Linked DNA regions of Pelodiscus sinensis. The protein of the gene in region 1 purifies or fractionates together with the protein of each later gene. This does not show direct contact. Links are inferred from orthologs where the notes say so. Each region holds a gene or a part of one and is shown in the gene's direction. Other genes may lie near its edges.

Region 1 (7,347 bases):
CTGACGCGTTTCGGCATGGAGCCCCGTCAGCCGGACCGGAGCTAAATATCTCCGTGTCCTTAGGGCCCTGGGCTGGGGCCCGTGAGTGAGGGCGGGCCCGGGCCCCCCTCTCCCTCCCCCTCCCAAGAGGGGGAGAAACGTTTGAGCTAGGGGCCGGCCGTGCGGCGACATAAGGCACGGCCGACCGCCCGAATTCACCCCCGTGAAAGCGGGAAGACTAAACACCGAGTGGGAACCAAGCCCACGCGGGGTGTGGGCAGAGGACCCCGAAACGGGGCCGGCAGAGACGCCCCTGTACAGCCATATACAACAGTTGGTCATGGAACTTTTTTGGAAGAACACAGAAGCGCTGGGTGCATATCTTTCAAACTCCACATTCTATTACTGATAGTATATGTGTCCTATGGGATGCTTTAACTAGAGATGTGATATTGCTCTGGGGCAAGTTAAGCCAATGTAAGGCCATGTCTATACACAAAACTTGTACCAGGTTAACTGTACTGGTATGGTTGAAGTGGTATAACTGCCCCTATTGGGGAGGCAGTTTAACCAGTATAAAAGTGCTTGTAACTGGTATAATGTATTCCCGTAAGGGGAATAAGCTATACTGCTATAAAGATGTGAAAGGATTAGATTTTTAGCAGTTAAGTGTTGGTAAGTTGCAGATCCGTAGGATCTGTGCTATGCTATTGCTTTTAAACAGTCTGGTGGAGGAACCTTTCAGTGCACACCCAGGGGTCTCACACTCTCTTCCTTATGCTGCCGAGACTGAGTATCTGTTTCATGCTGTGAGCTCTGCCAAAAAGCCCAGTGGAAACAGACTTCTGGCCAGGGACTTCTATACTCTTCAGGGACCAATGCACCTCAGCAAGTGGCATCAGGCAAAAAGTCCTTGGGTTAGCAATGAGAAGCACAGGCTGGAGCGGTAGCAGCCTCTTCCCGTGGGAGGCAGGGGTTGAGGCAGAAGTGACAGAAAACTGGGGGAGTTATGGCCCCCCTCGTTACTAGTCCCCACCCACCCTGTTGCCCTGCCTCCTACCCCCTGCCCAGGTCGAAACCAAAGCCTGGCAGTACTGGGTGGTGGCTGCTCACAGCCAGTAAGAGCTGCTCAGGCAGGTGCAGCTAGCTCCTGGATCAGCAGAGCCCTTGGGGAGCAGCAACCCTAGGAACAGAGCCCAAGAAGGAGCAGGTCAGTCCAGCCCAAGGCCTTCCATCTACCCTTGACAGCATAATCAGGTGGATGGGGATATGCACTGGGGGCTTCCTGGCCAGGCTTACTTCTTCACTGTTGCTGGAGCTGGGCACCAGAACAGCAGCCATGCTGACTCTCTCCCCTCTGTTGGAAAGCTGGAGAGCAACAGCTGCTATGTGGCAGTGACAGGGGGAGCAAGGCAAATGTTGGGGTAGCTATAGCTCAAGCAACCTCCTCCCTCCAGAACCGCTCTTGAGCACAAGTCAATACATAGTTCATCCTGGCCAACTTCCACCCCGCCAAGCGGCTATGCAATCCATTTCTCTCTCTCTCTCTCTTGCTCTTTGTCATTCCCGGGGAGAGCTGCTGTTATCTCAGCCATCCACTGCCTTTCAGCCCATTGGCCTTCTGCAGGACCACAATGGGTTCACATGCTCCATTGTTAGGTGTTAATTGTTTAGTCCTTGGGGTCCTCCATCTTCCCCTCAGGACGTGCCTGATAGATGACACTAGCAGAGTGCACATGGAAGTCTTTACGCACCCCGCTGCTCTTTTGCCATCCCAAAACCTGTTGTTTTGAAACTGGAATGGGATCCTGCCATCACTTCCTCCCACTTACCTTCCAGGGACTGAGGAGGGCCAAGGCAGTGAGGACGCTCTGTTGCGCAAGAAAGCTCTGATGGCCATTTTAGCCATAGGGGTTTCTTGCGCAAGAAACCCCTGTTGCCCATTCACTCTGCCTTCTTGCACAAGAGGGCTTATCCCTCGTGGAGAGAGGAGTAACTCTTGTGCAAGAAGCCCTCTTTTCCGACGCTTTCCTGTAAATTTACTTGCGCAAGAACATGCATGCAGTGTATGTGATCTGCAAGTTTTTGTGCAAGAACTGCCGTTGTTGTGCAAAAAGCCTGCAGTATAGATGTAGCCAAGGTCTTTTGCAGACCCAAAAACCTTTTCCTGTGAGCCTTAGATGTCAATTCAAACTTAAGCACTACAGCCTTTTTGAACTGTTCAGAGTCCTCAGTACCAGCTCCATCATAAGAACATAAGGCTACATCTATACTGCTCCCTTGTGAAAAAGTCTATGCAAATGAAGCGCAGATTAGCATATTGCCACACTTCATTTCCATAATTAATTAGGGGCTGTTTTTGTGCAAGAGGCTTTTGTGCAAAATGAAGCTGTATAGATGGCTCCTTTTTGTGGAAAAACCCCCTCTTGCACAAAAGCCGTTCTTCCTCATGTTTTCAGCCATCTACTCAACTCCTTTTTGCATAACAGCCTCTTGAGCAAAACCATCCCCTAATTAATTATGCAAATGAAGCACGGCAAGATGCTAATCTGTGCTTCATTTGCATAGGCTTTTGTGCAAGAAGGAAGCAGTATAGACATAGCCTAAGAATGGCCATACTGGGTCAGACCAAAAGTCCATCCAGCCCAGTATCCTGTCCGCTAACAGTGGCTAATGCCAGGTCTGTATGCCTCTATCACCTTGGGACCAAGTAAGGGGGTGACAACAGTGATGCCGATCCATGGACTCAACCTAGTTCAAACTGCAGCCTCCTCACTGTGTTTGAAATAGTCATCTATATCCCACTCTTCCAACACAAACTTTAAATTGGGGCAACAATTTGGTGCGATGGTCTCTTCCATCAGTCAACATCGCACCTTTGGTTAAACAAGTACCAATTTCAATTTAGACCAAGCCCATATGAGTAATGCTTTGCATCCAGTCCTGTCCCATGGCTAATGTCAAAAAAGTAGAAGGGATGATGTTTCTCCCCTAACTCTTCCAAAATAAACATGTCTCCAATTTGGGTGCAGGGTGCCTTGGCCTGGACAAACATCCGAAAAGTCACATGACTAACAACCAGGTACATGAATTCAGACCTGCTCACAGCAGAGGCTTGTAAGGCAGGTCAGTCCGTAGCGAATCGAACAGCGGGTGCATTTTGCATTGACTATTCAATTAGTCGACAGGGCACTTCTGCCTTTGAAGAGTAGCAAACGCCCTAGCGCTGTTGCTTCCCTTCAGAGGCAAAAGCACCAGGTGGAGCCAGGGGTCAACCGGAGACTCCTGCTGACCCCAGGCTCCATGCAGTGCTGCCACTTTGGAACTGCATGGGGACACCCCAGCTGGTCCTGGGCTGCCTGTGGTGTGTCAAAGCAGCAGCACCATGCGGACCCCGGGGGTCTGACCCCAGGCTCCAAGCAGGGCTGCGGCTTTGAAGTTTCCCCTCCTTTTCCCTCCCCCCTTGTTGCCCCTCTCTGATACAGGCAGCTAGGGTGGGGGAAGCGCCTAGTCGACTGACTAAGCAGGGGTGTCCAAACTTTTTTCAAAGAGGGCCAGATTTGATTAAGTGAACATGCGTGAGGGCCGACCATTTTGCCTGACATTCTTTGAACCATTAAAATTAAATGCAAATTAACTATTTTATGCAAAATTTATTGCAAACGGCATACTTTTCATTTCGTCACATGGATGACAAATCTAAACAGGTGTTAAATCACTCTGCCTTTCATATCTGAAGGCCAGATGAAAAAAAAAATCCAAGAAGCTGAAATATATGTCAGGAACATTGTAAAGGACATTACATATTATTGGTAATAAAGGTTGTCTGTCAACTTTTAAGTTTAAAAAATATGAACAGGAACATAACACCAAGTATCCGTGTTGTGTCCAAATATATTTATAACTGATTTAGACCAACGGACATGAACTGAGATTTTACAATGTGTTCATCTCAATACATATGGATTCGTTGGGGGCCATAAAAGATAGATATTGCCAAATTACCTGGGGGGCCGTATTAAACCGGAACACGGGCCGCAATTGGCCCGCGGGCCGGACTTTGGACATGCCTGGACTATGGGATCAGCATTTGCTTATGGGATAGTCCCCCAGTCCTTTCCCTCCCTGCTCCCAGCCTGGGGACTTGCTTCCCTTCCCGTGTGGGAGCAGAGGCAGGGCTCCTGCCAGAGGACAGTGGGAATTAGGGGGCACGGCCACACTAGCTCCAGCTCCACAGGCCCTGGGCGCAGACCAGAGGCTGAGGGGCGGCCCGGCTCGCTCGCCACAGGGCGGGGCCAGCTCGGGGGAGCCAGGCCCGGAGGCGGGCAGCGGGCTCCGCCTCCCCGCCAGGCGGGGCCGGGCCGCGCGAGGAGATGATGTCAGCCGCGAGCCGCCGGGCCGGGAGCGGCGGTGCCGGTGCGGCGAGAGCGGGAGTTCGGACGCCGCGGTGGCTCCGGGCGGCGGCGGCATGTCGGGCCCCAGCGCGGTGAACGACCCCCAGCACGCGGCCCGCCTGCTGCGGGCCCTCAGCTCCTTCCGCGAGGAGAGCCGCTTCTGCGACGCGCACCTGGTGCTGGAGGGCGAGGAGATCCCGGTGCAGAAGAACATCCTGGCGGCCGCCAGCCCCTACATCAGGTGCGCGGGGCCGGGGCTCGCCTCAGGCGGGAGAGGGGCGGTCCCGGGGCTAACCCCTCGCAGGCCCCGCTCCCTCCTCCGCGGCCGTTCAGCCTGCGGGGCCTGCCAGTCCTCTCCCTCCGCATTGATCCAGGGCGCCTGACTGGGTCGGGTTTGTGTCCCGAGGTTGGTTACTCGAGTGCCTGGCCCATCGCCGGGCAAAGGCTGGGGGGAGAGGGTTATTTTGGGGCCGTTTCGGGGGGGGGGTGGAGGGACTTTGTGCACGGAGTTTGTTGACATTATCCAAGCAGAAATAAGTAGGTTGGCTGCTGCGCCCATGTGGTCATAGACCTCAAAACCAAAGCAGCCCGGCTGCGTCTAGACTGGCATGATTTTCCGCTAGTGCTTTGAAGGGAAAAGTTTTCCGTTCAAAGCATTGGTGGAAAAGAGCGTCTAGATTGGCACGGACGCTTTTCCGCAAAAGCATTTTTTGCGGAAAAGCGTCCGTGCCGATCTAGACGCGCTTTTGCGCAAAAAAGCCCCGATGGCCATTTTTGCCATCAGGGCTTTTTTGCACAAAACAAATCTGAGCTGGCTACACTGGCCCTTTTGCCCAAACGGGAGCAGTATAGTATTTCCACAAGAAGCACTGATTTCAGACAGTAGGAAGTCAGTGTTCTTGCGGAAATTCAAGCGGCCAGCGTGGACAGCTGGCAAGTTTTTCTGCAAAAGCAGCTGCTTTTGTGGAAAAACTTGCCAGTCTAGACACAGCCCTCGTGTTTTTGAGGACCTCTCTTTACCCCTTGATGTTTTGGAGATCTGTTGTAAAAGGCTGAGATGGAAGGTTCACAATCCGCTGTATAGATATGCTGTCAGTGAAATTGAAGGCGTTTAATACTTTCCTGAGTGTGTTTTTCTTACCTTTCCAAAGAGAGAGCTGCTGCAGTCTAGTAATTAAAACACACAAAAATACAGTTCGTTTAAAAAAAAAAAAAAGGTTTACTTGACCAACTCTGCAATTCAAGCTGATGAGAATTATGTAGCGAAGTGTTTGTAGAATGGTCTAAAATGCCTTTGGAGGAACAGTTATATTCTGTCAACTCATGTCCTTGTCATGAGGTTATTTGTTAAACAGAAAATGTCACAAACTACTTAACACTCTGAATACATTTCCCAAACCTGAAGTAGATCTGTGTGTGAACTGGAGATCTTGCCTCGCCTACCAACAGAAATTGGTCCACTGAACGATAGTACCTCACTCGTTTTGTGTCTTCCAAACTACTTAAGCAATATTAAGGGCATGATTTAAACCAGTGGTTTTCACATGATAGGGCGTGACCCAGTACTGGATCTCTGGGCCTTGTTGCTGCGGGGTGATTAGTGGGGCTGCCAAGGCAGGTTAGATAGATGATGCAGACGTACTCGGCACAGACCGCTTTATCTGCTTAGGCAGCAGCATCTGCCATGATGGAGGCACCAAGAACAACATCCAGAGTAGACTAAGTAAGGCCAGAAACGTCCTCAGGAGTATGAACAATGTATAGAGAGCTACATAGTACAGTGTCCACATCAAGCTTAAGCTATACCAGAACTGTCATATCAACACTACTATATGGCTCAGAGTGCGACCATGCCAAGCTCTGCTCCTTTTACACCACCAGCCTTTGTAAGATACTTCGCATCTTTTGGCCAAAAACAATTTCCAACCACAACCTGCTCCTGCGATGCCACCAGGAGAACATGACCACTATCATTATGAGAAGATGCTGGAGATGGGTAGGACATGTGATCAGAAGGGAGGCAGACGCCATTGTAAAGATAGCACTTCACTGGACGCCTGAAGATGACGAAAACATGGGAGGCCCAAGACAACGTGGTGGCGTACTGTTGAGGCAGACATGAAGAGAATGAATTACAACTGGGGCACACTGGAGAAAATGGCCAACGACAGAAAAAAATGGAGAACCTTCATTGCTGCCCTACACGCCAGCGGGCAAATTAGACATTAACTAACTAACTAAGGCAGGTTTCCTGTCTGTCTTGACACTGCAGACTGTGTTGTGCCCCAGAAAGGACCAGCATCAGGCCTGCCTCCTGGAGGGATGGGGAGGCAGAAGAGCATATACTGGGCACTATGCTCTGCTTCTACCTTGAACACTGATTCTGCACTCCCATTGGCTAGAACCTGCTGCTGGCTGTTTCTGGGGTGCATGGCCTGAGGTGTCAGGACAGGCAGGAAGCCTGCCTATTGCTTTAGCACCCTTGATGCATCGCTGACCGGGAGTTGCTCAAGATAAGCCCCTCATGCCCCAGCCCTGACCCACCCTCAAAGCTGAAGCTCTCCTGCTCAGCACCACCTTGGACCCAACATTTTAGTCAAATTATGTTGGGTCACAGACATCAATTTTCTTCAGCTGGGTCAAGAGGAAAAACATTTGAAAACCACTGATTCAGACCAACAAGCCAAGAAAACTAAAGTTAATATTGAGGGGCACGGAGATTATGAAAGTAAAAGACACTGTTTCAGTATGGTTTGTTCTCAAAACTATGCACACGTGATAAGTAATTTCATCTTTATAAATGCTGGATGCATTATCTGTCAGATGCCCTCAGCAAAGTCAGTGCTCTAGAATTAGTTATGTGCCTTTTGTAAATTCATAAGACAGTTTGACTAGTCTAGAGCTTGCGAGCTAGTCATTGTCCTGCTTCATTGTTCGTTTAAAAGATTCCTTTTTAAAAGCTTGATTTACCATT
Region 2 (6,965 bases), on another chromosome or scaffold:
TGTGTTCTGGGGTGTGTGTGTGTTCTGGGGTGTGTGTGTGTGTGTGTGTGTTTTCTGTCAAATTCCTGCTACGAGATAACAGAATGTGTGGGACCCTCACCCTCATCTTGAGGCTCAGGAGTGCAGGCCTTCCCCAGCGCAGCCCCAAAACCACCTGGCCTTCCCTGCAGCTGTTGCTAGGTTGCATTGCAAGCAGACGGTCATCAGCTTTACACATTTCTCAGCTGTTCCTGTTCCCAGTGGCAGCTTCCTAATGCAGTGGTCCCCAGTGTGGTGCCTGCCAGCGCCATGGCGCCCGCCGGGCCATTTCTGTGCTCCCACTGAATGATCGGGGCTGGCCCCTAGCCATTGGCGGCGTCGGCCCCGGGCGTGCAGCACATGGGCGGCCCCACCACCGGGCACGCGGCGCATGGGGCTGCCGGCTCCTGGGCGTGTGGCACAGGCGCCAGCTCCGGGCATGCAGCACATGGATGGTGATGGCCCAGCCCCCAGGCGCGCGGGACATGGGCTGTTCTGGCCCCGGGCGTGCAGCGTATGGGAGGCCCCACCCCTGGGCGTGCAGCACAGTTGCGGCGCCAGCCCCGGGAGAGTGGCGCATGGGTGGCGCCAGCTCCAGGCATGCAGCGTATGGATGGCCTCGCCTCAAGGCCCGTGCGCGGCCCCGCCCCCGGCTGCCCGGCATGTGACCAGCCCTGCCCCTGGGCGCCCGGCAGCCCCAAAAGGTTGGGGACCATTGGAATGCATCCCTTGGTTCCGGAGCCCCCTTCCTCCATGCCAGGGGGGTGGGCATCTCCCAGTTGCATTTCTCCCAGAAGAATCACACGTTTCACCCCACTGGGCTTGCCTGGCATTGTTTAAGATCGACTGGCTAACTCGTCCTAGAACTAGTGTAGACAGGCACCTTCTATTGGAACGGTAGCTGGTCCTGTTAAACCTTACATTGACCAGGGAACACGTCACTAAACACCTGCTCTAGGGCTATGTCTAGACTACGGAGTTTTTCTGGGATACCAAAGGGAGCCAGGGAATGCGTCTGCTCTTCCGACATTTTTTGCGGAAGAGCAGATGCGCTCTTTCGGAAGCCCTGTATTCCTCATGTTATGAGGAAGAAGGGCTCTTCCGAAAGAGGAGGTTTTTCCGACATTTGGCCCTGTGTAGAGGGGCGACATTTCGGAAAAGCCTCTTCCGAAAAACCAACTGGAAAAAGGTGCGCAAATGTGGAGCGCAATGTGCGAAACTTTTTCCGAAAAAAGTGGCAGTCTAGATGTAGCCTAGGACTCCTACACGTTAACAAACGTTAAAACCAGACCTTTCTCCTGGGGCACCTATGGCCTGAGGCTCGGCTCAGCTGACGCATAAAGCTAACACTGTCTCTGCTCGTTTTAAGAAATGCTGGCTCACAGGTTTTCAGTATAAACTTCTTTTACCCGTGCTGAGCTCAGAATGCCTCTGCTAGACATGCTGTCAGGGTAAGGCTGGTCAGCCAAGTTCTCTCAATGGCCCAAGCCTGACAGCTCGCAAGCTAACGCCGTCAGAAACCACAGCGCACGTCGGACATGCGACAGTGTCCCATGCTGGGACAAGATGCGTTCCAGTGCAACGGGGGTGCCCCGAGGCCAGTTTGGAGACACAGGCTCACAGGTGTGGGGACATGGAACCCCAATCCACAGAAGCCTTGAAGCTTGGGCTTTGCTGTCGGTTGTCACCTCCTGTGACGGCGCGTTGGGGTCCCCTGTCTCCTGCACCCCGAAATGGCACAAACAGACTCCACCAGCCAGTAGAATTGAGGGTGGTTTATTGCTCCTCCAGGATACAGCACAGATGTAATCTGGTTACAGGAACTGGGGGCTAAGAGGCCTCAGTGCCCCCCTTGAGATAGGGGAATCCCAGCCCTCTCCCCAGTTCCTTCTCCCCTGCTTTCCAGCCAGGAACTCACTCACTCTCCTCCAGCCCTGCCCCCCAGCCAGGGCAGCATTCCACCTTCCTTTGTTCCTCTCCATGGGGGTCAGCTGGCCAAACCAGTTGGGATACCCTCTTTGCATAGTGACTCATTACTTGTCTGCTCGGTGGTGCTACAGACAGCAGCCAGAGAGTTAGCAGGTTATCCCCCACTACGTCACACCTCCCCACACAAAACCATCCACGAATGGTATCAATGCGCTGCCAGGCTCCTCTCCAGGCCGCTCACAAAGGAACCAGCGAAGGCCAGGCCTGGTCAGATGCTCTGGTTTGCAGAGCTCCAGTTCACAGCAGTTGCTGTGCCTGGCAGGAGCAAGGTCTCACAGGCTCCCGTTCACATGCTTTAGTCCAGCCCCACCCAAAGCCACCCACTAGGTTTTGTTTAGCTTCTCAGGTTTGAGTCTATGAAACACAGGTGGACCCAGCTGGCCAGGTCAGATTTACCGTCAGAAAGGTGAGTTCCCTTAGCGCTTGGCAGCCCATGGGGCTTGCAAGCGATGCCGTTGGGTGAAAAGCCCCAGTGTGTAACACCCTTTTGCTCCCAGGCACAGTCATGCTCCAGCTTCTGGCAGCGTTCACTGCCCGTGTCTCGTGTGCCCCTCCCTCCGCCTGGACAGAGGCTAGAGGGTGCCACAGAACAGCATCTGCACCAACAGCAGCGCAGTGCTCTTGGGGCTGGGTTTCTCACGCGGCAAGGGGAGCACAGTGCCGAAGAGCCAGAGGAATGTGATGGGCTCCAGTAGGGTATGAGGAAGCCCAGCAGATGCAGGGGTGGGTGCCGAAAGGGAGGGGGGATCAGAGGTGGGAGGCCGAGGAAGGGAGAGGGTAAGAGACCTTGCTCCCTCTTCCTGTAGTATTTTTAAACTTGCCTGTGACAAGAAACTCAAAACCAGCTGGGTTGGCTCATCAGAAAATCACAAGGCCATGGCAAGATAGCCAGCCTGCAATGCCAGGGTGCACTCCAACGTTCTCCAGCTTCAAAGAGTTGAGGTAAGGGCAGTGGGGAACACAAGGCCCTGAGAGGCATCTGTATCTGCCACCTGGGTTGTCGTCTCTTTAGACCTTTTAAAGGGCTTGAGGAAGAGGGGTCCACATGGCCCCTATGACTGGGCAGGTCAAGCTCTAAGGCTAGAGAAGTCCTCCCAGAAGGCTAGAGTGGCTGTGGAGGAACCAGCCAATCAGGAGCCAGGAGGGTCTATATAAGAGGAGCTGGTGGACTAGAGGCAGATCAGTTGCAGCCTAGAAGAGAGGAGGTTGTGGTGGGCTAGTGGAACAAACGGGACCAGCTCCCTGTGGAGACTGATGGACCTGATGTCTGGTCCTCAACCTCTAGGGAAGCCCATTGGCCTCCCCCAGCTGCACCAAACCAGCCCCCTTACAATGCCCATCCCCAATCCGGTCCCTTTACTATGTCCTAGGGTTGCCCGGTGTCCTGTTTCCGCCCGGACTGTCCGTTCTACCGGACGTGTGAAATGTCCAGTATTTCCTGTTTCCCTCGGACGGAAGCCGGCGGGGACCGTTTCCCCTGCTGCGTCTGGCGGGGCGGGGGCGTGCGGGACCATTTAAAGGCACAGCGCCTTTTTTTTTTTTTTTGCTTAACAACTTTGGTCTCCCCCTTTCTTTTTTCTCAACGGAATTTTTTCCCGTTTTTTGGGGGATGGGGTGGGGGGGGTTCGGTATTTTTTGTTAAACCATCTGGCAACCCTACTATGCCCTGCCCCCGCCCCCAATCCTGCCCCCTTACTATACCCTGCCCCCCTCTTTACTACGCCCCGCCCCTAGCCCCTCAATCCCCGCCCCCTCTCGGGCAGGGAATCCCGGGAACCCCGCCCCCATTCTGCATCACATGACAAAATGGCGTCTGAATCCGTCACGTGATGCTGCGACGCTCTAGCTCCCTACCTCCTCCTTCTGGCCCGCCGCAGCGTCTCCATGGCAACGGCCCCTCTTTTACGGCCTCGGTTTCCGGCCGGAGCGTTGAGCCGCGCGGGACGAGCGGAAGTAGCCGGGGCCGTTGCGGGCCCGGGCCGGAAGTGCCTGTCGGGAGGTTGCCCTGGCAGCGGGAGAGTCCCGGCCTGAGGAGCCTCCCCCGGCCGCCATGGACCTGGCCGCGGCCATGACCGACACGTACGACCAGGCGCTGCTGGGCATCCTGCAGCACGTGGGCAACGTGCAGGGCTTCCTGCGGGTCCTCTTCGGCTTCCTCTACCGCAAGACCGACTTCTACCGCCTGCTGCGGCCGCCGCGGGGCCGCCTGGGCTTCCCGCCCGGCGCGGCGCAGGCCATGGCCCTCCAGGTAGCCCGCGCGGCGCGTGGGGGGGAGGCGGGTGGTGCGCATCCGCGCGGCCCTCCGGGCAAAACTTATTCCGCACGCGGCTGAGAGTGGTTAGCCGGGGGGAGCTGCAGCGGCCTGCAGGCTGGAGCAGCCCCTCTGCACGGTGGGGAGAGGCCGAGGGGGCACTTCCGACTGGAGCGCCTGCCCCTGTGCCCTCTCGAACGGCTTAGCCAGTTCGTTAACTCTGGAACCTACTGACGACGCGACATGGGTTAAAACGAGCGGTTTCACCGATGGGTTGGATACCGAGGTCCAGCCGAAATGCTTTATCCCAGCCCCGCACCCTGTTGCGAGTGCTCAGTCATCTCCATCCCGGCTGGCAGAACCTCCAGCTTCCCCGTGACAGCTTCTCCAAACTGGTTCTGCATTGTTAGCCCGGGAGTAGCTGGGAGACCTGAAAGGGTGGGGACAGCATTGCATTCATTACTCCCTCACACCAGAATTGAAGTGGGCCAGCATTGATCCTTGTCGGCTTCCTTCACGGAGGATCATGCTGTTACTGTTCATGACACTGTCCCCTGAGGTCTTTGGGGGCTGGATCAGGCCCTCATCAGTTGTTCGACTGATGTATGATGGCATTCTTGTACCAGGGTCTGAGTGGGGCCAACTGTGTTACACGATTGGCTTGCATGTGGCCAGTAACTCCTTAGCTAAGGGTGGAGTTACTGTCTTTTTTTTATTTTTTCAAGCTCCTAGAAATGTTTGCTATGCCACAACCAAGTAAAGACCCAGGCTTTGCTCTGAGGAATGGGTGTAGCATAACAAAGTGAGCAGTATAAACACCCTCTCCTCTTTCCTTTACGCTCCTTCCCCTTTGGGTAAGATTGTGAGGTTGATCAGGTCACAGCTGCTTGTTTAATTCCTTTTGTTACTTGTTGGCTGCCTTACTCTCCTGTCATGTCTCAGAGATTGCACATCAAAGATGAGGTTTCTGGAGGAATTGGAATGAGGGGAGAAAGGTGTCCTGGCATATATATCAGTGAAGAAGAGATAAAGGGTGCCAAGGCATAATCTCCACTCTGGCATGATAAATGCAGTAGGTCTGCAAAAGTACCCAAAAAGTACCTTATCTTTCCAGGCTCTGGTATAAAGCTTCCCCCAAAAATCTTAGAAACCTAGATTTTGGGGATAAAAATCCGATTCCACCACTCAAGTAATGATAAGAAAGCCAGAGGAGAGATCACTTGGGAAATCTCAGCCCTATCGTAAAACCAGGACATAAAAATTAACCAATACCAGGTTAATAAAAAGGAAAGAGAGCTTTTATCTTCACCACAATACTCCTGATATAAGCATAATCATTAGATAAGTCACCAATTAATATACTCACGGGGGATTCCACCATGGGCCAAAACTTAGTTATAAAGTAGAGGAAAACCCATTTTTAAATGCACAGACATCAGATTCCTATTCCCAAACCATAAAACAATAAAACCTAACGGATTTATAGATAGTGAAGATTCTTTTTTTGGAGAGAGACATTTTGTCTGCCCCCCCTTAGTAGCTGGAGAGAAACTGCTCTGGGACAAAGGAGGGAAAAACCAAAAATTCCTTTGTCCCCGTTTGAAATTTCTACCTACATTTCTGTTGGCTGCCTGCTACCTGGTTAAGTAAGTGATATAGTTAACTCTTTAGTCCCCAGGCTGCTGGCTAAACCTCATGGTCATGACAGATGGTAAGAGCAGATGAGCTGAGGGTGTATGAAGGAGCACTGCAGAGATGCAGGAAAGGGCAGCATGATGTAAGAGGACGGGAACTTTGTGGAGCACAATGCAGTGGGGAGTCAGTGGATGACACATGGTGGGCAACTTCGTGAGAGGAATGGGTGTGAGAGCGAACTTTGACAGCAATGGTTTGAACATCATGGAGGGAATACGGTTGGTGCTAAAATGCCTGACAGGAAGTGATTGCAGTAGCCAAGGCAAAAGGAGCAGTCTGTGACAACGACAGAGAAGAAGGGGGTGGTTGAGAGACTGCAGCGTGACCTTAGCTTGGCCAAGAGGGTTGGGCTGAAGACCTCTCCTCCAAGTTTCTGTTTCTAAGCTTTGCTTTTCACTCAGAGCTTCTCAGCCTCTCGTTCTGGGTTGAAGCACACACTGTTGGCCTCAGCCTGTTGGCTCTGCGGGCCCATGCTGCTGGACACATTGAGATAAGACTTTCTTTGGAATGCTTACAACTCAAAAATGGTCCAGTGGGTGATGTGTGTATGGGAGATGGGAAGTCCTGGTTAGTTTTTACAGTTTAGTTCCGCGAGGGGTAAGCAAGACTAGTGAGTGGGCCACATAAACGGCCCTCCTTTGTCTTGGAATGATTGCCAGTGGTGGGCAACCTATTCCCCCTGTGGCTTGTTCACCCTCACTCTGCCCCCTCCTTCCACACCTCACGCACTGGAGCCCCACAAAACCTACTCTTCCCCTCCCTCCCAGCTCTTTCAAAGTGCCATGAATCTGCTGGTTCTTTCTCATCCCTGCTTCTGCTCTGCCTCCTTCCCAGAGCATGAACCCCACAGATCAGCTAGTCTCTCTTAGGCCTTAGGCAAGCAGCATAGAATCGACTTGCAGAGAAGAGCAGAAATGGATTTGTGCCTTATTCCTGCGTTGTGATGGACAAAGGCAGCCTGGAATTTATCTTTTTTCTTTGTTTTTAACTTTGAAGTGTTGCCTTCCTTGCC

What was found. Proteins that work in one complex are often made in the same cells at the same time.
Region 2: the proteins of GAN (region 1) and NUDCD3 purify together in Homo sapiens (co-immunoprecipitation; 3 studies listed by BioGRID and IntAct, counting the BioPlex papers as one, with this or other methods). This does not show direct contact. The link is inferred for Pelodiscus sinensis from reciprocal best matches to the Homo sapiens genes GAN and NUDCD3.

Annotation. Positions count from the first base shown.
Region 1 is NC_134722.1:11,332,119-11,339,465, reverse strand, and holds the start of GAN (gigaxonin), read left to right. Parts: upstream 1-4,325; 5' UTR 4,326-4,447; coding exon 4,448-4,614; intron 4,615-7,347. UniProt on the Homo sapiens protein: Probable cytoskeletal component that directly or indirectly plays an important role in neurofilament architecture.
Region 2 is NC_134738.1:4,746,224-4,753,188, reverse strand, and holds the start of NUDCD3 (nudC domain-containing protein 3), read left to right. Parts: upstream 1-3,950; 5' UTR 3,951-4,057; coding exon 4,058-4,255; intron 4,256-6,965.